Cricetulus griseus: one gene and its partners. The protein of the gene in region 6 interacts with the protein of the main gene of each other region in a pairwise test. Links are inferred from orthologs where the notes say so. Each region holds a gene or a part of one and is shown on either strand. Other genes may lie near its edges. The genes, in order: Fbf1, Prc1, Dtnb, Necab2, Fam110a, Ushbp1 and Synj2bp.

The links.
Region 1: the proteins of Ushbp1 (region 6) and Fbf1 interact in binary tests that used the Homo sapiens proteins (3 or more experiments, as listed by UniProt). The two-hybrid records come from large-scale screens. The link is inferred for Cricetulus griseus from reciprocal best matches to the Homo sapiens genes USHBP1 and FBF1.
Region 2: the proteins of Ushbp1 (region 6) and Prc1 interact in a two-hybrid assay, tested with the Homo sapiens proteins (2 studies listed by BioGRID and IntAct). The link is inferred for Cricetulus griseus from reciprocal best matches to the Homo sapiens genes USHBP1 and PRC1.
Region 3: the proteins of Ushbp1 (region 6) and Dtnb interact in binary tests that used the Homo sapiens proteins (3 or more experiments, as listed by UniProt). The two-hybrid records come from large-scale screens. The link is inferred for Cricetulus griseus from reciprocal best matches to the Homo sapiens genes USHBP1 and DTNB.
Region 4: the proteins of Ushbp1 (region 6) and Necab2 interact in binary tests that used the Homo sapiens proteins (3 or more experiments, as listed by UniProt). The two-hybrid records come from large-scale screens. The link is inferred for Cricetulus griseus from reciprocal best matches to the Homo sapiens genes USHBP1 and NECAB2.
Region 5: the proteins of Ushbp1 (region 6) and Fam110a interact in binary tests that used the Homo sapiens proteins (3 or more experiments, as listed by UniProt). The two-hybrid records come from large-scale screens. The link is inferred for Cricetulus griseus from reciprocal best matches to the Homo sapiens genes USHBP1 and FAM110A.
Region 7: the proteins of Ushbp1 (region 6) and Synj2bp interact in binary tests that used the Homo sapiens proteins (3 or more experiments, as listed by UniProt). The two-hybrid records come from large-scale screens. The link is inferred for Cricetulus griseus from reciprocal best matches to the Homo sapiens genes USHBP1 and SYNJ2BP.

What each region holds. Positions count from the first base shown.
Region 1 is NC_048600.1:128,734,343-128,737,842, forward strand, and holds part of Fbf1 (fas-binding factor 1), read right to left. Parts: coding exon 3,460-3,500; intron 2,399-3,459; coding exon 1,919-2,398; intron 748-1,918; coding exon 646-747; intron 365-645; coding exon 270-364; intron 136-269; coding exon 77-135; intron 1-76. UniProt on the Homo sapiens protein: Keratin-binding protein required for epithelial cell polarization. Involved in apical junction complex (AJC) assembly via its interaction with PARD3. Required for ciliogenesis.
Region 2 is NC_048596.1:117,306,059-117,309,558, reverse strand, and holds part of Prc1 (protein regulator of cytokinesis 1), read left to right. Parts: intron 1-45; coding exon 46-178; intron 179-618; coding exon 619-741; intron 742-3,500. UniProt on the Homo sapiens protein: Key regulator of cytokinesis that cross-links antiparrallel microtubules at an average distance of 35 nM. Essential for controlling the spatiotemporal formation of the midzone and successful cytokinesis.
Region 3 is NC_048600.1:14,466,751-14,470,696, reverse strand, and holds the start of Dtnb (dystrobrevin beta), read right to left. Parts: upstream 2,801-3,946; 5' UTR 2,678-2,800; intron 1-2,677.
Region 4 is NC_048596.1:196,088,030-196,091,529, forward strand, and holds part of Necab2 (N-terminal EF-hand calcium-binding protein 2), read left to right. Parts: intron 1-514; coding exon 515-540; intron 541-690; coding exon 691-788; intron 789-3,500. UniProt on the Homo sapiens protein: May act as a signaling scaffold protein that senses intracellular calcium.
Region 5 is NC_048599.1:28,044,669-28,048,168, reverse strand, and holds part of Fam110a (protein FAM110A), read right to left. Parts: intron 522-3,500; 5' UTR 446-521; coding exon 1-445.
Region 6 is NW_023276806.1:247,616,872-247,620,371, reverse strand, and holds part of Ushbp1 (Usher syndrome type-1C protein-binding protein 1), read left to right. Parts: intron 1-24; coding exon 25-150; intron 151-1,386; coding exon 1,387-1,520; intron 1,521-1,660; coding exon 1,661-1,801; intron 1,802-2,122; coding exon 2,123-2,287; intron 2,288-3,252; coding exon 3,253-3,500.
Region 7 is NC_048598.1:122,173,588-122,177,730, forward strand, and holds the start of Synj2bp (synaptojanin-2-binding protein), read left to right. Parts: upstream 1-1,343; 5' UTR 1,344-1,468; coding exon 1,469-1,532; intron 1,533-4,143. UniProt on the Homo sapiens protein: Regulates endocytosis of activin type 2 receptor kinases through the Ral/RALBP1-dependent pathway and may be involved in suppression of activin-induced signal transduction.

The DNA of each region.
Region 1 (3,500 bases), on a different chromosome or scaffold from region 6:
TCCTTGAGTTGCCTCTGAGCAGGGGAGAATTGTTCACTGGGCCCAAGACCTAACCCTGTTTGTCCACCTTCCCTACCTGGATTGGCACAGAGAGCCCCGTGGGTTCTTGGGAGCGTGGAACATAAAGTGCAGGCTCTGGAAACGTGACGGCAGAGAAAGAGGAGGAGGTTCAGAGGACTGCATAGCGAGGATCTTCCAGAGTTCCCAAAGGAGCTCAAGGTACCTCTTCCTCACCCAGGGCTAAACTCCAAGCAGAGACGGAAACAAACCTCTGCTAGAAAAGTCCCCAGAGGCAGAGACCATTCCTGTCTTGGGGTCACCTACAGGGAGGACAGTAGTGGCTTGGCTCCAACGCATGGAGGACCTGGGGACATAAAGATGAGGGCACATTGAACAGCTTCTGTGTGAGACAGAGGCAGAGAAGGGGAAGCAAAGAAAAGCACTGGATTCAAACAGCTGGATGCAGAGGTCTAGGGGCTGGTGCTCTGCTGGGGTGAAGGACCTGGCTGCACTGGCGGCTTGGTAAAGGGGCAACAGATATGTGTCTCAGACATCTGTCAGCTAGGCATAGATGCTGAATACAACAGTCAGTGAGCCAGGGAAGGAAGCAGAGGGTGGCCCTCCCAGCCCTGTCTTTGGACATACCCTGTGATACCAGGCCTGCCAGCTGCGATCCCTTGTGGAATTGTTCTTGAGGCTTCTTCAGCAATGGCCTGCTCAAGGGCCTGAGTGCCAGCAACAGATTGGCTGAGGAAAGTCCATGTTAAAGGTGAAGACTGGTAGTGAGCTACATGAAGATAACCCCAGACAAGCTCCTAGCATGAAGCTCTGGCAGCCTTCTCCCCCTGCCTGTTCCCACCACTTCTCCCCTGCCTGTTCCCACCACTTCTCCCCTGCTTATTCCGACCACTCCATTCTCTGCCTCTGTTCCCACCACTCCTTCCCCTTTCTGCCTCTGTTCCCACCACTTTTCTGGAATTTTTTCCAGGCTGGAGGACTCCTGCAGTTTGTGGGCTGCCTTTCCCTTCTAGGACCTGCTGTCCAACTCAGCATCCATCATGGTTCAGTAACACAGCAACCATGGGCATGCCACACACACTGGAGTTAAGTCCAAGCCCAAGCCTTGTCATGCTTTGTGTAGTCTTAGATTCTGGTGCTGCTGGGTCACCCCGTCTCCATAGCTACCCTTGATTGCTCTCTTGTATTCTTTTCCCTCCTTTCTTGGTTCTCAGGTCATCAGCTTTCCCTCTCATCTCAGGTCAACATCAAAACTGCTCTCCCCCAACACACCAGTTCTAGGACATCTAGGACACAGTGGTGGTGTCCCTGGGCTCACACAACCTCTTCCTGTTGGTTCTGCTTGCAAGGCTTGTTATTGCTTCCTAGGACCTGGCCTGTCAGCCCCTTTCCCTTCCTGCCTACAGGGGTCACTCACCCCCAGCCTCACTGGATGGCCATTCTGTGGTGCTCAGGGGCTGTCTCCCAGTTTCCACATTTACTCAAACACTTCCAAGAGGCCATGGGAAGCTCACTCACACATGCACTAGCTACCTTTAACACAAGCTGACCGAAACCTACACTCGGCACAGTGGGTCTGACTGGTGTTGCAGACAGCGCTTGTGCTCAGAGAAGAGGGACAGGGACACTGCTACCACAAACACCCTTTGTTTTCCCTTGCCCAGTCCAGTCAGCACCTGTCCCCACGGCAGCCAGGGCATGAGTGTTAGCAGCCCCCGGCCTGTCTGTCTGCATCTGGGCAGCTCTCTACTGTGCCCGGAAGGAAGAGAAGCAAAGCTGGGGCGGCATCAGTGGCCACACTAGTATCTCTAACAAAGGATGCAACAGGTGAGGTGAGCAAGGCTAGACCCCCAGACCTTGCCAGATCCTTCCCGCCAACCGTAGAAGCCCACGCTCATACCTGCTAGAAGGGGTCTGACCCAATGATCCCCGTGAGTTCAGACCCTTAGAGGGCTCAGCACGATCCTCTCTGGCTAGACCCTGGGATTTTTTCTGAGATATGACATGGCTCAGCCAGTCATCCTCTTTCTCCTCAGAGGCTTTCAGTGAGGCTTGGCTGGCTTTGGTAGAGGGCCTCACACCCTTAGCTGCTGGCTTGGCTGCTGAGGGCAATCCAACTGGGGCAGGGTGTGGCTCTGGGGCTGAGTGCTGGTTTATAGGAGGGGGTAGAGAGGGTGTGGAGATGGCTGAGTCTTCTTGTTGAACCTTTTGAACAGGAGAGGAAGACAGCAGGTCCAGGTCATCGTCCTTAAGGCCTAGCCAGTCAGCTCCTCCTCTTCTGGGGTGGGCAGGGCTGGAAGCTGGTGGAGGGCTGTGTCTGAAGCCGGCTTCCCCCTTAAGGTCCCCCTTAAGGTCTGAGCCACCTTCTCCCAAGAACCTGCTTCAAGACAGAGAGGCGGGTGTTGGGCAGGGGAGGAAGCACACCCTGTTAGCCCCCATCAGTCCTACTCTCTGCTGTTGAGGGGGGTGCACGTCTGGCCCACAGCAAACTGGGCACAGTAGCTCACACCTGTAATCCCAGCACTCGGGAGGCTGACCCAGGACTGCTATAAGTGCAAAGCTGGCCTGTAGTACAAAACTAGCCTGTGCTACAAAGACCCTATGTCAAAATAGTGTTAACAATAGTGACCATCTCACAGCAGCTAGAGACATGGCTCAGCTGGTAGACTACATGTCTAGCATATACTAAGCTCATCCCTAGTGCCACAACCAACCAGGATGGTGGTCCATCCACACCTGCTGACCCAGCATTCCAGAATGAAGGCAGGAGGATAAAGTCAATGTCCATCCTTGACTACACAGTGAGTTAGAGGCCAGCCAGTCTCAACAACAAAAAGGGCAGGAAAAGACAGGTCCGATTTCACATAAGCCCGGGAACCCGAGCTCTAGGGGATCTGACATCCTCTTCTGACCTCCTCAGGCACCAGGTTTGTGTACAGTGCACAGATATACATGCAGGTAAAACACTCATATGCACAAAATAAACAAATAAATCCTTTTACAACAAAAAACATATACATGGAGAAAAATTACACATTCCGGAAAGTTCACTGCTGGTCTGTTTCTGTGGCAAATGTGCCGTGTGTCATGAGGATATGGCCAATGGCAGGGTCTGGGAAGCTATTAGAGGGATCCCCACTACGGCTTCAGGATGGTGGCTGTGCTAACTCCTTGGGCTGTGGTTTCTCTGGGAGACCAAGTGACATACCAGCCTTTCATGGCATTCAGAGCTTCAAGCAAAAGCAGGCCCACCTCTTCCTTTTCCTTCTGAGGAGTTTAGGGGTCTGGAGACTGCAAGTCTACCCAGCTCTGCCTGGACTGTTAGGAGCTCCTAGCTTCCCTCTCACTTTAGCACTGTAGACTCATGGCTGTAGGGTGAGGTTGGGAAGGCCGCAGGGACAGGCCTGTCCCCAAGGCTGACCTCCCTGAAGCCCCACTTACTTGACCGACTGCCGGCGGGACTGTCTGCCCTCAGAGGAGGC
Region 2 (3,500 bases), on a different chromosome or scaffold from region 6:
TGATGCTAGCTATTATAAGTAAAATGGTTTTATATTGATTTTCAGTGAAGTGCTAGCAGAGGAGTCCATCGTATGCCTCCAGAAAGCTCTGATTCACCTTCGGGAAATATGGGAATTAATTGGGATTCCAGAGGAACAGAGATTACAAAGAACCGAGGTTGTGAAGAAGCATATCAAGGTGAGTTGAGTGGTACTGGTCTTTCTGCAGTGAGACCAGGAGGTAGGGATGTTGCTGCCTTGTTGAGACATCAGACAGAGTGATATTTGGGGACTTGGATAGGTGACTTAGTAGGTAAAGACATCTGCAACTCCATGATATAAGCCTAAGACCTGAGCTCCATCCATATAAGGTATACAGGGAGAATTGAGTCCATAAAGTTGTCTTCTCTCCTTACACTTACTCTATGGCATTTGCATTCCTCACACATAATAATAGATAATAAAAATAATAACATTTGGTCGTTCAGACAAGGATATCACAGACTCTTCCTGGTTTTATTTAAAGCTTCTTCTGCAAAATTTGAAATTATGTGAGTTTTGAGATGCTAATTGGTTTTGTTGTGTTTTGTTTTATTCTCAGTGGCGCCAAACCTTTACCAACTGTTTTCTCTCACACAGGATCTTCTGGATAGGATGATTGCTGAAGAGGAGAGCCTGAGGGAACGGCTTCTCAAAAGCATATCCTTCTGTCAGAAGGAGCTGAGTACCCTGTGCAATGAGTTACAAGTGAAGCCATTTCAGGTGTGGCAATACAGAGTGTTTGGGGGGTGGGTTGGGGTCTGAGACAGATGACTATGTTTTAACTTAGCAATGTAAATGGAAAGCGTTCTTGGAGGGGAGATAGACTCGAGAAATGTGAAAGATAGTTACCCTATTGACATGAAATAGCTAATAGGTTATCAAACACTTCTTGCTGTATTTCAGTTTTATAGAGCATAATAATGTTTTAATTTTGAGGGGAAAAGTGGCATGAATCTTTGTTTGAAAGAGGCGGGTAGGGGGACATTGAAGAAATGGGTTAATTGGTAAAGTCCTTCCCTCATAGGCATGAGAACCTGAATTCAAGCCTCATAAACCTTGCAAAAAAGCCAGATTGCCAGGCCATAATGGCTCACGCCTTTAATCCCAGCTCTTGGGAGGCAGAGGCAAGCGGATCTCTGAAAATTCAAGGTCAGCCTGGCCTACAGAGTGAGTTCCAGGACAGCCAGGGCATCACAGAGAAACTTTGTCTCAAGGGGAAAAAAATAATGGTGGCATATGCTTGTAACTTCAGCACTGGGGGGCAGGGGCAGAGATAGGTGGATCTCTGAGGCTTAAGCTTCAAACCAATGAGAGACCTTGTCTCAAAAACACAAACTTAAAACAAGATAGCAGCTGGACAAAGACTCAGCAGTTGAGAACATGTGGTGCTCTTGCATAGGAGCTGGTTTCAGTTCCCAGCACATGTGGTGGCTTACAACTGTCCTGAACTCCAACTCCAGGGGGTCCAGCACCCTCTAGTGACTTCAGTCTAGAGTACCAGGTTCACATGCAGTACACTTAAATACATGCAGGAGAGAAGCTTATACCCTTATTAGTAATTCTTTAGAACAAAAAACAAGCTGTACAGTATTACCCAAAAGTTGATCTCCGTCTTCCATCCATTTGTTCACATATATGTATGTGCTGCTATCCACCCCACAGAATAAAGTGGGTACATAGGAGGCAAGGATACCTAGTGATACAAAGGAGGAGTACCAAACAAAATTCAACCTTTGTGGTTCTTTTAATAATCAAAAACTGCATACCACTGAACCATCCAGAATGGTTCTGAAAAGTTGGGACACATAGGAAGCTTTGAAAAGGAATGATGACGGTTCTCATGTTCCATTTACTGTTAAAGGAAAAACTTACCACCTTTGAAGGGTAAGGAAAATTGATCCCTGGCAGTCAAGAGCATTCAAGCAGACCATGACGTTAGAGCAGTTTCCGGAGATTAACATAAATGACGTGGATTTGCTACATAAAATTTCTCTTTTTTTCTTAAACTCTCAATGTGAAATTAGGTATATGAGAAGTTGGGACTACACTGGTACATCTGTCTTCCTTGAATATATGGCAAGTTTTTAACAATGCTAAATGAAACTATATTATTTGTAGAACATATAATTACCAACCACTCTATTCCCTTCTTAATCTACTAGGAATAGAGCAGGATCTACTAAATTGATTGGTTTTTTTGTTTGTTTGTTTTTTGAGACAGGGTTTCTCTGTATTGTTTTGGAGGCTGTTCTGGAACTAGCTCTTATAGACCTGGCTGGCCTCGAACTCACAGAGATCCGCCTGCCTCTGCCTCCCAAGTGTTGGGATTAAAGGCGTGTGCCACCAACGCCCGGCCTAAATTGATTGTTATTGGTAAAGAGATGTTCATAGGACTTTTAGTGTAAGTATTCTATTAATAAGAACTAGATATATCATCTTCTAGCTAACCAAAGTAAGCTTTCTGATCCACGTATTGCAAAAGTATTCTGGTGTTTAAAACAGTCAGACTCAACAAAATAGATTGGATTGGTGGGAGCATAAAATGAGGACCTTTTGCCAAAAATGATTTCAGTTTTGCAAGATGAGATGAGTTCTGGAGTTAGCTAGGTGACATGATGATTACACAGCTATTTTTACAATTGCTTCTTAACTTAGACTTACATCCTAATAAAGCCATCATAAATTTTAGAAAATTGTACAATTGATCCAATTCAGTTACTGGAAATTGTAGCTTACACTTGGTTATTATACATACACACAAAACACTGCCTAGAGTTGGGCACCATCATACACAAATGTCCAACCTGTAAATTGATATAAAACTAATCTAACCACTGTGGATGCAGTTCAGTGGTAGAAGTTTGACTAACATGATGTCCTAGTTTGTTTTGGCTTTTTGTTTTGTTTTGTTTTTCGAGACAGGGTTTCTCTGTAGTTTTGGAGCCTATCCTGGCACTCGTTGTGTAGACCAGGCTGGCCTTGAATTCACAGAGATCCTCCTGCCTCTGCCTCCTAAGTGCTGGGATTAAAGGCGTGCGCCACCAACGCCCAGCAATGTCCTAGTTTTAACCTCTGATATTGGTGAGTAAGAAGAGATCAGGCCAATAAGATGATATCAGTGGATAAAGCATTTATCATGTAAAAGCCTGCTGACCTGAGTTCAATCTCCAGAACCCACCTAAGAATGAGTGGAAAGAATCAACTTCATAAAGCTGTCTTGTGACTGTCATATTCATGTCATGGCAAAGTGCATGTTCCCCTACTATACACAAACAACAGTAATAAAGTTAAATTTATAAAAGTAGATTTAAAAAAAGTTATAAAGTTCTTAAAACATGAGATCTTTATTGTTAGTGGTATGATTTTTTTTTTTTTTTAATTTATTGTGGGTGTGTGGTTGTGCACATGCCATTGGCATGTAGAGGTCAGGGGACAACTTCCTTGAGTTGGTTTTATTCTTCTACCATGTGGGTTCTGGG
Region 3 (3,946 bases), on a different chromosome or scaffold from region 6:
CCAAGTGGGTTTTTTTTTTTTATCTGAGTATCTTATAACCAAGTATGCATTATGAGCTACTTGAACTACTGAAGTCCAAGAGCTGCCAGGCACAGAGACTCCAACGCAAATGATACCCCTAAAACTGGACAGCATACAACCAGAAACCACAGCTCTAATGTATATGTAATTTGAAATAAGTAAAATGGGGTGGGCTGTCCTCAAAGATAGCATGAGTTAATCTTCTGGTGATACAAATGTATATATTTTGATTGGGATAGTTTACACAGTTATATATGGTTTTCCTTTGTTTTTGTTTTCTTTGCAGAGGGCTTTTGTTACTGTTTCCCTTTTGATTTTACTTTCTGTTGAAACAGTCTCCCCATGTAACCCTGGCTAGCCTTAAACTCACAGTGATCAGCTTGCCTCTGCCTCCAGAGACCGGGATTTAGACATGTGCCACCACACCCAACAATATGTATGGTTTTTTAAAACATCCAATTCAACATGTAAAATCTGCCCCTTTTATCATATGCTAACTATGTATCAAGAAGGAACAGTAGCGCACACCTGTAATCCCAGCACACATGGGCAGGAGGATAACTACAAGCTCAAAGTCAGTCAGGGCAACATAGAGAAGACCTCTATCTTAAAAACAAAATCACAAAAAAAGTTTGTTTTAACCATGCAGGGTGGTTCACTCAGGAGACTGAGGAGATGGCCACAAATTCAAGGTCAGCCTATATCCTTGGCTACAGTATATTGAGTACCAGGCCAGCTGGGTTCAGCAAGACACTGTTTCAAAAGGGAGGGGGCACTGATTTTGAAATAAGTGTAAATTAAGCATCTAGAAAATATTAGGAAAGCCTGAAACCAAGGTACCAAAAATTACAGAGCCACGTAGACACCCCAAAACAAAACTTACTATAAACTTAAAGGTTGCATGCTCACTAACATGAAATAAAAGTGTTGCTTCAAGGCTCACTATATATTCAACGCCAAATTTGTACTGATATTACTTTCATTAGATGAGGAACTAAGGCTCAGATATGTTAACACTGAAGACATGAAATAAATGGTAACTGGAAATCTCATGAACTCTAGTATTTTAACTCCAAGTAGAAATTCTGTCTTCCGGGAAAAATTATTGAACATCATGACACCGCCAGCACCACCTTGACTTCACAACCTCCTTCAGAGGCAGTTCCACTTATGTCTGATAAAAATCCTCAGAGAACTCATAAAAGGTCAAGTTTTAATTTGGCAAGCAAAGTAACCCAACAAGCACTGCAAGCCAGAGGAAGGGAACAGCAGCCTGGGGCTGGAGAGTCCAACACCCTGGAAGGTGGAGGACGGAACTCCTGCCCTTACAGGACTGACCAGACATTCTCTCACCTCAGCATTCTGTCACCTCAGAGCCCAGACCCAAGAGGCAGAATAGAAACTACAAGTGTTCGTAGCAAAAGCATACTCCATCCTCAAAAAAGCATAACAAAAACAAACAAAAAGCCAATGAGAGAAGGACCAGAACCGGATCTCAAGAGACCACCCAAAGAGCAAGCGCCTGGTACCCAACATGCAAGAACCACGTGGATGTAAAAGACTGGCCACAAGCCACCGGAGTCTGCCACCCAGGCCACTGTTTTAACCTACCCAGTGCCTAAAACCCTGGCTACCCGAGGCAAAAAGACGATCTGAGGCCCAAAGAAGTCCACCAACCACCCCTAACTCTAGAGAGGCAGACACTACTCCATATAAAATGTATCAAACCCCTGCTTCCTCCAACACTCATTCAGTGGACATCAATTCTAAGACTACTGGGATCCAGGCCACATCCTGAGGACTAAGCTTAACTCTAGTTGAGAAGGCAAGGTTCTCTTTAAATTTTCCTTTCCCTCTCTTTTAAATGTCACTAAGACCCTTCCAATCTCTTCTCAATAACTCCCACCAGCTTCCCTTGAGTAGCCTACTTTCTCCACAAACCAAGCAACTTAGGGATCTTTTTTCCCATGGTTTCCCATGGAAAAAAGACTAAAGAGGCTGAAATGACCAGGACAAGAGACGAGAAATTGAGCGCTTTACATTTTATATGCATACTTTCACGGCCCAACTGTCAGCACTTGAGCAGCAAATGATGGCTGGGAGTGACTGAGTCGTGACCCCGGGGCTGACCGCGCTTGTCTCCTGCTCCGTAGCTAATCAATAAACGCTTTGCAGAGAATGCTGGAAGGTCTCCCTGATTCCCCAAGGCCTGGCACGGGGAATGTAACCGTAAGCATTCGGCAGCCGCATCCTCCCGTCTCTTCTCGGGACACTATACCCATCAAGGGTGACCTGGGTGGACAGGTTCGTCTACCGGGAGACACCGAGGGGGCGATCTGGAATGAATTCCCTTCCCTCTGCCAGGGCCTGCCTGCCTCACCTGCCCTCTGCCAGGACCTGCCGCCTTCGCCCCCTTCAGCACCTAACCCGGAGCCTCCTCCCCGCAAGCCGGGCTCCCGCTGCATCAGCAGGCGCGCGCAGCCCGGCTCTGCGCCCCGCCGCCACCGTGCGCGCGGGTGGCCGGAGGACCCCCCCTTCCTCTCTCCCTCCCCGGCCCGGCGTGCCGTCTCCCAAGGGTCGCAGCTCCACGGCCGCGCGCTCCGCCACCCCGCAGGCTCCCTCCTCGCTCCTCCAGCCCGGGCGGAGGACTCCCCACCTGGCTCACTTCCCGGCCGGAGCTGAGGGGGCGTCGCGTGGCTCTCCGGCGGCCGCAGCCTCCTCCGGCCCGGCCCCCTCGACTTGAGGCGGCTGAAGCAGCTGCAGCGGCTGAGGCGACGGCGCCCACTCAGGCCCCGGAGCCGCCCCCACGGCGAACGTTCCCGGCGCCGGCTCGCGCCGCTTCCCCCGCCCGGCACGCGCAGCGAGCCCGCCCCCGGCGCGAGGGCGCGAGGCGCGAGGGCGAGGGCGGGTGCGCGCGGAGGGCCGGCGGGCGGGCGCGCGAGGGGCGGGGCTTCCGCCACGAGAGGGGGCGGGGAGGCGGCCGCGTGCCCTCCCGCGGGTTCGCGCGCCCCCTCCGGGCCTCTGCGGTGCGCGGGCGGCGGAGGCGGAGGCGCGCTTCCACTCCACAGGTAGCTGCCCGGCGGCTGGATGCTGCGCCGACGTGACTGCACCGTAAGGAATGCCAAGAAACACCCGGTGAATGATTCACCCGCGCCTCGAGCGCGGGCTCCTGCCCCGGGTGACTTTCCACATTGACTCAGCAGGCTCACTGAGCACTGACTCCGCGTCTGGTGCGCCGTGGACATGCTCTGGGTCACAGGCCCCTAGGCCCCAGGAGCGCGTAACTCAGGGGGAAGAGCAGCCTTGCGAGGACCGAGTCCGGTCACCTGCGAATAGCCAAGCCACAGCCGGATGCTGTGAGAGGATAAGGGGGAACAGATTACTTCCGCTTAGCTGCGCGGTAGTTCCTGAAAGTGGGAACGTTTCGACTTGCTAAAAACAGCTTGGGCAAAGGAGCAGGGGCCGGTCAGTTCATAGTACCATTTTTAAAAAGGATTGATGTTTTTATGTTATGTGTATAAGTGTTTGGCCTACAAGTATGTGTGTTCATCACACACGTGCGCCCCCCCCCCCCGGGAGACCAGCAGAGTGAATTGGATCCCCTGGAACTGTGAGCTGCCCTGTGGGTGCTGGAAAATCGAACCCAGGTCCTCTAATAACATCAAAGTGCTCTTTAACTGCTGAGCTATCTCTCCAGCCCCTTATATGTTTCTTGGTTGGTATTTTTTCCAAGATAAGGTTTTAGTGTAACAGCCCAATCAGTCCTGGAACTCTCTTTGGAGACCAGGCTGGCCTTGAACTTCGAGAGATCCACCTTCTGTCTCCTGGGCACTGGGATTAAAGGCATGCTCCAACATGCCTGACCTCATGGTCCCATTTTTTTTTAATAGAATCCTTTCCAAACTCTTTAGGAACAGCTAAGTCT
Region 4 (3,500 bases), on a different chromosome or scaffold from region 6:
TGCTTTGGTATAAGGAGTGAAACCCAGGGCTAGAGTGGAGGCTGACCCAGGGCCCCAAGAGTCCCAGGAGAGGCCGGGGTATTATTTTTGACAACCTGTGATAATCGGCAGCCCTTTCCCCACCCTGCTCCCTGGATCAGCTTTCTCATTGGTCCCATCTACTCATGATATGGCCCATAGGCTTTGAGAGGAATATTGAGCAGCCTGGTTTGGTGGCATAGGTCTGTAACCACAACACTCAGGAAGATGAAGCAGAAAGATCATGAGAGTTCAAGGCCAGCCTGGGTTACATAGTGCAACCTTGTCTCAAAATAAGGAAAGGAAACAGCATGGTGGGCAGGCAGGTGGCTCCTGCTCCAGCCTCTTTGAGGTGGAGTTCACCATACCAGTGCTGAGCATGCAGAGGGGGCCACAGCAAGTGTTTTGGGGACTGCTGGGAGGGTCAGAAACTGGCCTGCTGACTCTGTCTCCCTCTCTCTCTCTCCATTTCCTCCCTCCCCCCCTCCCTCCACAGCCATGTGGACACCAAGGAACTGTGTGGTAAGTTCCGGGATCTACAGCCACCATGGTGTGGACAGGAATACCCAGAGGAGGGCAAATCAATATGGACCTAGGTGGGGCTGGTGGGAGGGCCCCAGGGAGAGGGTGGAATCCTCTGTGACCCCTGACCTTTGCAACCTCCTTCCCCAGATTACTTTGTGGACCACATGGGAGACTATGAAGATGTCCTGGCCTCCCTGGAGACCTTGAACCACTCGGTCCTGAAAGCCATGGGCTACACCAAGAAGGTCAGTGGGTATGGGGAGTGCACTCAAGAAGCTAGGGCCTGAACGCCAGTCTAGGTGTTTCTGAACATTGTTGCTCAAGGGTGTCTAGCTTTGTGGTGACAAGTGTTGGCAGGGCTCCTTGCAGAGCCAAGACAAACCACATAGTGAGAGGATGACCTTGGTGGATAGCCCTGTCCCCTAGAGTGTGTGCCAGAGTGTGAGGGTCTTTCCCAGGGTCAGGCTGGGTCCTGGTGTGGATAACTGGTGAGGGCAGGAATCCTGAACGATGGGCTCCTTCAAGAGCAGTGCAGACCCAGGGATCTGGAAATGGGAATTTAGGTTTTGTCTGTCTGAACTTGACCCAGGAGTGAACTGGTGTCCCCTAGTGGCTGGCACATGTGCAGTAGAGGAAGGCCGAGTTGATCTGGTCAGTGACCAGGTTAAAGGACTGGAGTCTCACTTTTTGTTGTCTGTGAAGTGGAAGTGCCCATCTTGCAGACCTTGACTGAACTAAACACCAAACTGTTGAACACAGAGCTACGTAGGTAACACCAGCTCCCTCATTTCCTCACACGAAGCCTGTGCCCTGCCTGCAGCAGACTGAAGACCCCTTCTTGCCATGCACCCTAACATTGCTGAATCTGCCCCACCCCCTGCACACTGCCATTCTGGCATTGCACTGTCAGGAGTCTTGCTGTTTGCGAATATTTTAAGACCTTGTGAGAGCCACTCTCAGGGGATGAGGGTATGTTCATCGTTGCAGTTTTGCGGCAGCCCCCAGTGTCCCCTGGTGGCTGGAGCATTAGCAGGGTGTGCTAGGCAAGTGTGTCAGCCTGGCTGTAAGAAGAGGGGAAGATGGATTGTGCAGCAACACAGTCCTTGACCCTTCCCCTCCTATCCAGGAGCAGAGCCCTGTCCCAGTAAAACCGTAGAGCATGGAACCTCACCATCCATGAGGGAAAGGAGCCTCCCAGGAGGCTCAGGCCAGCCTTAGTCATGCTGCCACAAGGATTGTACATGTAGCCTCAGGTGATCATGGTGATTTCAGGTGATTCCGGAGCATCCTTGCTGGGCCTGGAAATGGTAGCTGACTTTTTTTTTTTTTTTTTTTTTTTTTTTTTTTTTTTTTTGCCTTCTTTGGTATCTCCTAGCTGGCCTGTTTGAAGAAAGGCAGCTTGCTGATGATCTTGAATGCTTTCCTTGTATGCTGGTAGCTTTTATGTCAGTTTGACATAAGTTAGCGTCGACTTGATTAAGAAAATCCCCCCAGAAGATTGGCCTGTTGAACAAGCCTGCGGTGTATGTTTCTGGATTGATGATTGATGTCAGAAAGCTCAGCTCACTTTGGGTGGTGCCACCTATGGACTGGTGGTCGTGGGTGCTATAAGAAAGCAAGCTGAACAAACCATGGGGAGCAAGCCAGTAAGCACCACCCCTCCATAACCTCTGCATCAGTTTTTGCCTGGGTTTCTGCCCTGACCTCTCTCAGTGGACTGTGATGTGGACATGTAAACTGAAATAAACCCTTTGCTCCCCAGTTTGCTTTTGGTTATGGTGTTTCATCACAGCAAAAGAGACTCAAAGACCCCCTGTGATCCCTGATTGAGGCTGACTGCTTTGATTTTGTGACGTAATAGTCTCTGTCATGGTTAGCTGGGTTAGTCTCCTGCATGGTGACGAATATGGGCTCCTCTGGTAACTCTGTTGCATGTGACATATTCTCCAGATCCTAACACATCACAATGATGCAAGGCCCCAGCTTTTCAAGTACATCTAGAGCATCTCTCCACTAATTGCAATATTAATGCCAACTCTTATTTTAGAAACCTCTTCAGTTCAGCCTGTGCAAAAATATGTTTCGCCTTCCCCTTTGTTCAGTCTTGTCTTGGGTGATAGCAAGGAATTTGCTCAAATGCCTGTGGGTTTTTTTTTTTTTTTTTTAATGATCTGATGATTTTGCTTCAGCTATCGATGGGTGGATTCTATTTTTAGATTCTCTCAAATTGAATAGTCAGTGCTCTATGATAAACTTCCATCAGAGCATCATTCTTTCATCATCTCTCACTCAGTTCTGTCACCTACTGAGTGTCTTCTCTCTGCATTGGGAGTTGAAGTGGGAAGATGGCCTGGGGAGCAAACCATGTGACTAGGGCATCTCCTGTATGATGCGCCATCCCTAAAATGTATGGATGTTTTTTTTTTTTCTATTTAAAATCAAAATGTATCCAGAACTCTTGGGTCAAGGGTCTAAAAGGGTAGTGACTATTGTCATAGGTCTTACTGTTTTATGTGTGAAGTGTTTTACCTGCATGTACATCTGTGCACCATGCGTGTGCCTAAAGCCCACAGTAGCCAGAAGATGGCATTGGGTCCCCTGAAACAGGAGTCTCAGATGTGAGCCACCATGTAGGGCTGGGAATCAAACCCCAGGGTCCTTTTCCAGAACTCTTAACCACTGAGCCATTTCTCCAGACCCTGTAATAGGTGGTTTATAGCAAACCCTAATTTTTAAAAAATATTTATTTATTTATTTATTATGTATACACTGTTCTGTCTGCATGTTTGCCTGCACACTAGAAGAGGGCACCAGATCTCATTATGGATGGTTGTGAGCCATCATATGGTTGCTGGGAATTGAACTCAGGACCTCTGGAAGAGCAGTCAGTGCTCTTAACCTCTGAGCCATCTCTCCAGACTTGGAAAACCCTAATTTTATTCGTTTCCTTTTTGGTG
Region 5 (3,500 bases), on a different chromosome or scaffold from region 6:
CTGTACTAGGCGGTGGACGAGGAGGGGTGGCTGGTGGGACCTTGTGGGCAGATCCTTCTGCCCGTCCAGGCGTTCGGCTGGCCTCAGCTGGGGACACGGGACTATCACACAGGTTGATGAGACTGGTAAGGATGTCAACGTCCAGCTGGGGCCTGCGTCCAGGACAGGGCAGGGCTCGGCGGCTGGGTGTGAGCACTGGCCCACGAGCAGCGCTGAAGAAGGGCTGTCGGGCTAGCGGGGGCTGCACAGGCTCCTGGCGGGTGTTGGCCACATGAAGGCTTTTGACGTACTTGGCCTTGTCAGCCTCCAGGCGTTCCACAGCACTCGGCTTCCGGGCTCCCGCAACTGCTGGCCTTGGTAGCAGGTAGCTTGGGACCTTGGTTCGCAGGCGAAAAGGTAGGGTGGGAGCTGCAGGGGCTGCAGGGCTCAGCGTGTCCACGGGCATGGCAGTTACATGCCCCGAGGGCCGAGGCGAGGAGACAGATACAGGCACAAAGTTGGCAGCTGGATGCCGGGCTCCGCTGCAAGCAAGGAAAGAAGACAGGCTGAGCACGTTCAGACAAAGGCTCGCCTGACTGCGAAGCCTGAGCTATTATAAGGTAGAGGGCACGCCTCTGCCTCGCGAAGAGCCAATCATCAGGCAGAATGTACTACTGGAAGTCCTGTGGCCCCACCTACACCCTTTCCCTCCAATAGTGGGCGGGGACCCGCACAGCTGAGGGAGGGAGGAAAGAGGTTGAGAAGGCAGGTCCGTTTTAAAAAGAGCAAAGGAGGCTCAAGGCTCCAGGCTCAGCTCCAGGGTCCTCTCAACAGCCCCATTTACGGATAGGGAAACTGAAGCTCGGGGAGGCAATGAACTTGCTTAAGCCTTCCCTTGCTCCCCAGATAGGAGGTACTAGTGACCAGGCAGTTGGGGTTGAATGACCGCCATCCACATCCCACCTGAATTGCCCAGAGGAGCCAGATACCACCAACATCCCACAACCAGCCCAGGCAGGAAGCCTCGCAGTGCCAGACTCCTGCCTGGACATGCCAGGCCCACAAAGGGCACAAAAGCAGAGGCTGCAGGGGAGGAGCAGAAAGATAGTCCACACCCCCACCCTAGTGGAGCCCAAGTAGCTTCCAGGATATGGCTCCAAGGCCAAGCCCACAGAGATCAAGGCACGCAGAGAGGAGTAAGCATCAGCCCCAAGCTATGCTGTGCAAAGAACTGTCCAGGTCACAGCACCACCCAGAGCTATGCTGCTGACCAACTACCATGAAGGTGAGCATGGGCTGTAAGGCTCATGCCTGGGTGCTCATGTAGTCCCATACTTGTCCAACAGAAGATCATCCCAGGCATCGAGAAAACATGGTTAGAAAGTGCCACAGTTCTCCCCCACCACCCAAGCCCCTCAGAAACGTAGCAATGTAAAACCCAAGTTAAACTTTCTCATCTGTAAAGAGGGGGGAGGGGCTTAGCCTGGGGGCTACAGACACTTGGCAGTTCAGGTCACCCAGCACCACTAGCTCCTGAATCATACCAACCATGCTTCAAGTTCTCCATGGGTGCATGGAGGCTACTATGCTAGACAGCACTGAAACCGAGAGCATGCCTAAACACAGTAAAAGCATCACCGAGACATACAGACATCCCATAACAGGGATCCCCATTGTGTGCCAGACACTCAAAGCCGCACTCTCTCGTATCATCTCCAACAGCCTGGAAGCCACTGTCACCATTTTGTAGCAGGGAAAACTGAGACTCTGAGAAGTGACTTCCCTAGATCCCAGAGGAGATTAAAATGGTAGTCCCATCATACAGCTTTTCCACACACTATGGGCACACGCGCGCGCACACACCACACACACACACACACACACACACACACACACACACCTGCTTCTTCTCTCACTATAGCCATGGGTCCCATAGAACTTACTGTGGATATGGTTCTCTCTTTGTTGTCCCCCACTCCCTAAAGTATCAGCTCCATGAGGGCAGAAGTTTCGGCTGCTTTGTTCACTGGGTCTCAGCTTCATGGTGTGGCTCTCAATACATGCTAAATAGTCCACAAGTGTGTCCTGAACTGAAAGGCCTGGGTGGGGGGGATCAGCTGAGAACCAGCACCACAGTGGGCTAGAGAAGCCTCACCCACTACAGACAGGTGGGTCCAAGGTAAGGGGTGTAATGTTCCCAGGGCTGGCGATCCAGAGGGGCAGGGGCTCTCTAGGTCTGTAACTGTGAGCAAATTCCATCCCCATTTTTAAAAGACTACCTGTACCAGGCAAGCATAGCATATCTGCAGACATACCTGCTTTCCCCAGCACCCATGGAAACCTCAGTACAGTAGTGGTGTGGGGGCTGGGGATAGGGCTGCTCTCAAGTCTCAAGGGGCTAGTAGGAAGGAAAGGAAGGCTGGCTCCACTCAAGTAGACCCCCCAGGTAACCTTGGGCAGGAAAGGTCTGGCCAGCAGAGCTGCTCCGGAGCCCTGCCAGACTCTGCCCCACCTCCCTAACCCCCCACGTCTGCTCTGCCACCCAAACCAGTCCAACCCGTTGGTAGTGGTTGAGGCAGTCCCTCCCAAACATCACCTGGGAAAAAGGAAGGAGGTCAGAGGGGCAGGGCCAGGGCAGAAGCTCCCCGCCACCACCACCTTGCTTCTATACCCACCACCTAACTCTAGGTAAAGATGGGGGCGGGGACAGGTGCCTGTTGCCAAACTTGGCCTGGTAACCACCTGGGTGCCCACTTTCCCACCAGCCCCTGCCTTGCACCTTGCACAAGAGGCAGCTCTTAACAGACTGTTGTTCCCTTATCTGTTCACCGGAGTTAAAAATAGACTTCCCTGTGCCTTCGGGTCACCGCTGGAAAGATCAAACGGGTTCGTAGCACCTGGAAATGGCCAGCGCTCCATAAATAAACCAGGTTGGCTGACATATACTGAGGCTCTGACTGTGGAGTGTGCAGACCCGCCCCCTCCGAGAGTCTTCTAAGCACGATCCAGAAGGGCGGATCTAGGCCCCAGCAGACACAAAGGAGACATCTGGCAGGGGCTGATCACAATGAGCCAGCAGACCCGCACCAACTCACGTCACAGGGGCCTCTCAGAGAGGCAGCCTGGGTCCGGGTCGCCAAGTGAGATTTAACGTCTCCTCTGGGGACTCTTCTCACCATGGGTTTTCAAATGCTGCCGCAAACGGCCCTAAATGCATAAACCTTGAGCCTTTCTGGTCACAGTTCCAGAACCCGACTTTGTCCCTCCCTTCAGGTTCCCAAAGAACGGATCAGGCCACCAGGAAGGCCCCAGTTTGGTTTCGGTTCTTCCTCACTTGGAAGAAATCCTAGAGACTCTAGGGGCAAGCCTTGAGGTGAGCAAAGGCTGTGTGACCCCCATGATCTGCTGTCCCTCTCTGAGCAGAAGTTGGCCCACGTCTGTTTCGAATACGGGGACTGAATCCACAGTCCCTGCTGCGCTCCCCCCTCCCCAGCACCGCAACATACCTGGCTACCCAAGCC
Region 6 (3,500 bases):
AGTCTGATCCCCCATCACCTGCAGGTGCTGGAGCTAGAGGATTCCCTGAGGCAGCTGGAGGCCTCCCCGGCTGTCCTCCTCCTCAGAGCGGGGCATACCAACAGCAACTCCAGCAGTTCTGGGGCAGAAGGGGAGCCCTGGGTGCCTCAGGTAAGCCAGAAGTCTTTAGAGCATGTCGTGGTGATGTCCTCTGCTTTTCCAGTGTGAGAGGATGGGGGTAAGCTTCAATTTGTGCTTGATGGGATCCCATAGTGTTGTGTGACAAAACTTTTCCTGGGGAGACACTATACACGTCAACTCATCCCATATAGGGAGCCCATGTTACACAAAAGCACAGACACAGCCAAAGTCCAACTTGGTGGTTACATACAGGATTACGGGTGAAGGGTCACCTACAGGAGCTGAAATGACTCAGAGAGCTGCATCACCAAAGCCCACCCCAGCATGGGTGACAGCTCACAAAGCTGGAAGCCTGGAGCACACTGCACAGCCTGCAAATTGGAGTATGCCATTCCAGTGACTGGTCTAAATCTCTTCAGCACAGCTGGTCTGGTCTCTAGTCTTCTTTGCAGCCAATCAGCTGGTCTCTTAAGAACTTTCCTTACTCTGGCAGGGAGGGACCTAGTGAATCTGCTCAGTTTCAGGGACTTCCTGAAACTGTTTGGAGTTGTTTATCATCCTGCCTAAGGAGCAGGTGGAATGTTTCTATCTCAGAGGAAACTGTTAATACAACACATAGTGTGAAAAAAAACCTAAGCAGAGCCTGGAGAGATGGCTCGTTGGTTAGGTGTGCTAGCTGCTCTCACAGAGGACCAGATCTAATGCCCAGAACCCAAATGGCAGCTCACAATCATTAGTAATTCTAGTTTCAGGGGATCTGACGCCCTCTTCAGGGCTCCACAGCCACCAGGCATGCACATGGTGTACACAGAAACTTGCAGGCAAAACACTCACACACATGAAATAAAAATAAAAGAGAAAAAGCATAAAACACCAGATTGGTTGTCACCCCACAGTCACCAGCTGCTTAGGGGCCTGAGACAGAAGGATCGTGACCAATAAATTTATCAAGACCCTGTCTCCAGATTAAAAAATAATAATAAGCATTGGTGAGATAACACAGCTGGAAAGGGCACCTGCTGCCAAGCCTGGTGATCTGTGCTCAATCCCTGGAATTCCCAGAGTGGAACCAGAGAACTGAGTCCCATAAGTTGTCCTTTGACATCCATTCATGTGTCATAGGCATACATCCCACACACGTGTGCATGCACACACACCAAAAACACAAACCAAAGCTGCAGTGGTGCCCCAGATATATAATATGTTCCAGGGCCCTGCAAAAAGGAAGAATGATGGGTAGTAAATCAAGTCATGTACTCCTGGCAGGACTCCCCCTTGGCTCATCCTCTTCTCCAACCCCTCCAGAGTGACTCTAGCACCCAGATCTTTGGGTGCCATTCCAAACATCGTTCAGCCCCCGAGATGCACCTTATAGAAGATCAGATGGAGCAGCTCCAGGGGTGAGTGGCTGAGTCACAGCTGCTGAGCTTTTAAGGGCATCATGCTTCCCGCTACTGGGTTGTGAGGGGGTGGGGAAGAAACTGGGATCTAGCTGATTGGACCCTCACTCATCTTCCCTCTTGCCTGCCTTTGGAGATAGGAGCATTGAGAAGTTGAAGTGCTTCAATCGCCTCCTGCTGGCTGTGCTCCAGGGCTACAAGGGCCGCTGTGAGAGCCTCAGCATGCAGCTGGGCCAGAGGGAGGCTGAGGCCACAGCCCTGCGCCTGGCCCTGCAATATAGGTCTGTGTCTGCTACCAATGATGGTGGTGGCTGGGGACGAAATGGGGCTGCATCCCAGGATGGCCCTATGCAGAGGGACATGGGGACTTCAGAAAGCACACTGCCTCACCATGAGATCTTGTTCTAACCCATAAACTATGGAGGGTGGGAGCTGTCTTTTTGTGGTTTGTTGCTATATATTTATTTGAGACAAGGTCTCACTGTGTAGCGCCAGCTGGCCTGGAACTTGCTATGTAGCCCAGGCTGGCTTTGAACTCACAGAAATCTGCCTGACTTACTGGGTTGGGGCTGAATGTTGAAACACTCAAATGCCATCCACAGTGAGGATTGTGAGGAGGTATATGGGGTGCTGCTTGCTCTGAGGATGGCTGACTCAGGAGCTGGAGATGAAGCCCCCAAGAGTGACCTGCAGGCTGCTGAGAAGGAGGCAGCTAGGCTGCTGGTGGAGAAGGAGGCAGCTATGGATGGAAAGACACCCCAGCCCAGGTACTTACAGGAAGCATAAGAGCTATGGTGGTCCACGGGGTGGGGTGGGGCATGTCCCAGAGCCTGCTACATATAGGATTTTGATGTCATTGTCACTGTCACTGCCCAGGGAGGTGCTGAGTTCATCATGGCTGGCACCAGGCCTGACTGGAGTGTGTTAGTTACTCAGTGGTGCTTAGTTTGCCTGACACCAGGTGTGGTGACAACATGCCTTTGATCCCAGCACTCAGGAGGCAGAGTTTGAGGAGTTCAAGTCCAGCCTGGTCTACATAGCAAGTTCTAGGCCAGCCTAGACCTTGCCTCATATGTGTGTGTGTGTGTGTGTGTGTGTGTATACATATATATGTGTGTATACACACATATATATATACATATATACATACATACATACATATCTTATACAAAGTACCAATTGCCTTGCATAGATGCACAGACCCTGGTTTCAACCTCTAAAGCAGGGGGGGAAATCAGTGAAGAGAAAAATTATTAATTTTGGTCAATCCATCATGGCAACAGGAAGTGGGAAGCAGAGCTACAGGAAGTGTCCGGGGCATTGGTGAAGCCCTGTGTGGACTTGACAGGGTTAGCAATACAGCTCTAGGTACTGTCCATCACAGTGCTGGTGAGCTTCTGGTTTTGTCTCTGCACTGCCAGTGCAGCCTCAGTGTGCACGGAATTAAGTTCAAAGTCCCCTGGTGGCCTGATTAGCATGTAGGCTCCACCACCTGGCTATGTAACTGAGGGTGATGCTCCTGCCTCCATCTCCTGAGGCTGGGTTGTATATATGGTACCTCACGAATGCAAGCTCTCTATGGACTGAGCAACAAGCACTCTACTGACTGAGCCCCAGCACCTGCCATATTATCTTGCTGGAAGATTGCCCAGCTGGCACAGGACTGTGGTGGCTCCTCGGGCCGTGTCTTGGGAACAGCTGTATAACACCTGTCTCCACCTGTCTCCTATAGCCCAGGGGGCAGCAGTGTTGACAAGCCTACGCCACAGGAACTAGCTGCTCAGCTCCATGGCTATGTCCAGCGTCTCCGGGAACGCTGGGCTCTGGTGAAGATCCCTCCACCTCTTGGCCCTGCCACGGCACCCAGGCCCACTATGCCCCACACAGAAGCAACAGTTCAGGCCATTCTGGAGATACAGCCTGGCCCAGCCCTGCCCCGGCTAGAGAAGTCTGAGATCCAGCAGAAGCTGGTGGCTATTC
Region 7 (4,143 bases), on a different chromosome or scaffold from region 6:
AACTGAGATCTGAAGCTTAGGCCATTGCCAATTTTTCATACAATATCTATGCAGAAAATAAATGTTAATTACATGTCAGTAGCCTTTGCAGCAAATGTTAATTATGATAGAGTCCTTGCTCATCTGGCAAGAGGTTTTACTCAGACTCTGAGATGATGCCCCTCCCATGTCTCATAGGTTCCCTGTCTTCCCATCCTGTCTCATTCATATAGAATCCACTTCTGACTTGTTTTGATTAATTAACAGTGGTTGCTGGCTCGATTTTTAACTGTAAGGTAGAATACCTTTATGGTGATATTCACTCTTCAATTCTCTAACATCTCCAGTAACCAATCCCTTTTTTCACCCTATATACATTTATGGTCACCTTCCTGGTTCCTAAGGCTTTTTTTTTATCTTTTGATGTTTGAAAATTCCTTCAACCTGTTTGGAATGTCCTATTTCAAAAGTCAAGAGGGCTAGGAATGTCACATCTTAAGTCCTGCAATCATCTTGTCAAAAAAATGACATTTCCACCCCCACCTCCACACCCTCCACCCCTGCTTTGGAGTATTTTTCTTGAGTAAGCCTATAATTTAATTAATCCCTTCTCTGTATCTTTGTATGTATACACATTTCTTAAGTTAGATAAGCCTGCTAAAGACACAAACCAGGAATATATTGCAGCAAATACTTTAAACAAAGTGTCTTGTCAGTCGTATGGTGCTCCAGTTTCCTGTCATGTGTGTCAGTGTAGGTGCCTTGCTTTAAGCAGTGAACACTACACACACACACACACACACACACACACACACACACACACACACACACACACACGAGGTGGGGGAGGGAGGGAGATAGGTTGTATTTTTTCCCCCTGTAGATAAATTATATTAACACAGAGTGAACTGCCAGCGAATGAACATGACACAGTGTTATCAAGTTCTTTTACACGGGGCATGGATGTATTGGGCTGTACCCACGTCACACAAAAGGAAAAGGTACAACTTTCTGCCCAAATATGCAATCTCACCAGTAGTTTGCCCGTGATGCCTTTCCCAGTATGGTTTGAAGCTCATAAGATAAAATCCTCCTGTTTTTTTTTTTTTTTTTTTTACATTTGTGGATATTTTGAGATTTTATTTAAAATATCAACAGTATCAATCTAATTACGAACCATAACTTTATTACCCTCTTTCCGTGCCCTCCTTCCCACATGCTTTCCCAAGGTAGGTGAGCATTGTGCCTTACTCATGGCACCCCAGGATCTGCCTTGGGAATGGGGCGAGGTAACGGAAAACGCTGGTGGGCGCGGAGAACCACCACTCCCAGCATCCTTGGCGCTCCCAGTGCCCGCGGTTTCCTCTTCCGGTCCGGCGGCTTAGGAAACTGTAAAAGCTATGCTGGGGACGCGGCGCGGAGCTTGATTCACCTTCACCTGCGCGGAGCTCCAGCTGACCCCGGGCTTCCGCCCGGTGAGCCGTCAGACATGAACGGACGGGTGGATTATATAGTTACGGAGGAAGAGATCAACCTGACGAGAGGACCCTCGGGTAGGCGCGGGACGTGGAGGGAGTCATTGCTGAGCTCGTTGGTTTTGCGGAGCCAGGTTTACTGGCTGGAGAGCAGGCCGGCCCGACCAAGTTGCTTCCAAGAACGCCGTCGGGCACGACGAAAGAGCCCATTGGCATCCTTTGTTAGCTAGATAACGGACCCTGGGACTCGGCCTCACAACCCAGGGAAAGTGCCGCAGGCATTTAGGGCCAGGAAGGGTTTCTGTTTGCTGGTAGTAATAGAAAAGTCTAGACGAACGGCCGCTGCTTAGACAGCCTGTAGTGGACGCCACATCCGTTATTCAGTTGCCTGGATCATCCTTGTTTATATGAGGGCCCGTTCAGGTAAAAACGAGAGCGGTAAACGGCGTGGTTTTCTGAATGCATAGCAATTTCCCTGGTGCTAGGGTCCCTGTCTGCATTTCTGGGAAATTAGTTTACAGTGTCAACTGGAATGCTAAAGCAGGAGGATACCCACTACAGAAGTTTCCAGACCTAGCGCCACCCCAGAATTACTTGGGCTTGTTTTGTTTTTACATTTTTTTTTATAATGAATTAAAACGAAAAGGCTATTTTCTAGTTTCATTTTTAGGGATATGGATTCAGTATGGATTAAACAATTCTTTAAATACTAAATGTGATTCTGACAGGAAAATTCCCACTCAGCCCTGCTGTGTCTTCCTCACCGCTGCTCATGGCCAGACTGGCATTATTATTATTATTATTATTATTATTATTATTATTATTATTATTATTATTGTTTTGGTTTTTCGAGACAGGGTTTCTCTGTGTAGCTTTGGAACCTATCCTAGCACTCGCTCTGGAGACCAGGCTGGCCTTGAACTCACAGAGATCCGCCTGCCTCTGCCTCCCGAGTGCTGGGATTAAAGGCATGCGCCACCACCGCCCGGCGCCAGACTGGCCTTTAAACATGACTACATAGTGCTGTTGTCTCCCTTGGACTATTTTTAGGTTTAGGGTTAACTACTTATGGCCAAGTTTTTATCTAACAACTTACCAGTTTGTCTGTCAGTCTGTCTGGTTGGTTTTAATTCATTGGCAGAGTAATTTAACTGATGTATGCTATAGGTTCTTGTCTGTAGAGTGGAGATGGTTATGAAGTGCATTGTGTTTGACATATAGTGTTAGGATGAAGCCAGTTACGCCCTGAGAAATATTTAGAACATTGTCTTGACATATGGTAAGCAATGTGTATTTGCTATTATTGTTATCATTAGTGAATGAATGGTTAGACTGACCCCAGTAAGTTCTGCTAAATACAGTATTCCAAGAGTTGAATAAATCATTGGTTACTGTGGATTTTTATTCTACTTAGAATATTCTGTCAACTTTTCTCATCTGGAAGTTTGCAATAACTTAATCACTACTGATAGAGTGTTCTGTATAAAACACAACTTTCAGAATTAGTCATACTTTTTGTCTTCCTGTTGGGAGAAAATTGGAAGTTGGTCTTATTTATGGGAGTAACACACTGCTAATCTTTGTGGTTTATACAGAAGCTCAGTGCTGGTTGATTTTATTTTTTATTTCATTTGTCAACTTGGCAGAAGATAGAGTTATCTGGGAAAAGGAACCTCAATTGAGAAAATACCTCTATCAGATTGCCCGTAGGCAGGCCTGTGGAGCATTTTCTTGATTGATATTGATGTTTGATGATCAGCTCACGGTGGGCAGTGCCACCCTGGGCACGTGGTCCTAGATTGTAAGGAAGCAGGATGAGCAAGCCAGTAAGTAGCGCTACTGTAGTTGCTACGTCCAGGCTCCTGATGGAGTTCTCTTTATGATGGAATGTTACCTGAAAGTGTAAGATTAAATAAATCACTTCATCCCTTAGTTGCTTGTGTTACAGTGTTTTGTCATAGCAATAGAAAACCTAAGATAAACTCAAAAACTTTTGCTCAAAGACTTTTCAATATGCTCAAGTGTTTGAATTTGTCCTATTTTAGAAAACTATTCTCTCAATATTTATTTACTTTTTAGGCTAGCATGGTAGAAATTGAATTTTTATTGCATTTATTTAGTTATTTGTGTGAGGGGCAAGGAGGCCTGTAGAACTCAGAGGACAACTTTCAGGAGTCAGTTTTTTCCTTCTATCATGTGGGTCCCAGGGATTGAACTCAGGTTGTCAGAGTTGGTGGCAAGTGCTTGTGCCCACTGAGCCATCTCACTCAGCAGCCTCAGATCTTTAAATAAAAGTCCATTTTTTTGTGTGTACTTTTCATCTTCTCTTCTTAGGATCAGTTGAGATACACCTTTCTGATTGCTTTGCAAGTACATAATGACATCTAGTTCTTTAAATATACTTGCATGATACTACTTTTTATGATGTTTGAGGTTGTTTTTTGCCTAATGGTAAGGACCTAATGATATAGTCTCTTTGCAGTGGTATTACAGTATTTCCAGGGTCTTCCGATGAGAGCAGATTCCTGATATTATTATTCTTGTTTAAGCACTAAATTCAACATAATATCACTGTTTGAACCTCTGGGCATTTTAATGGGCATTGTCTAATTTCTAAGCAATTTTCTTACAGATCTAAAGTTTCTACTCTTAGTATTTCCATCAAGCATTAGAGCTAGGGAAAGTGCCC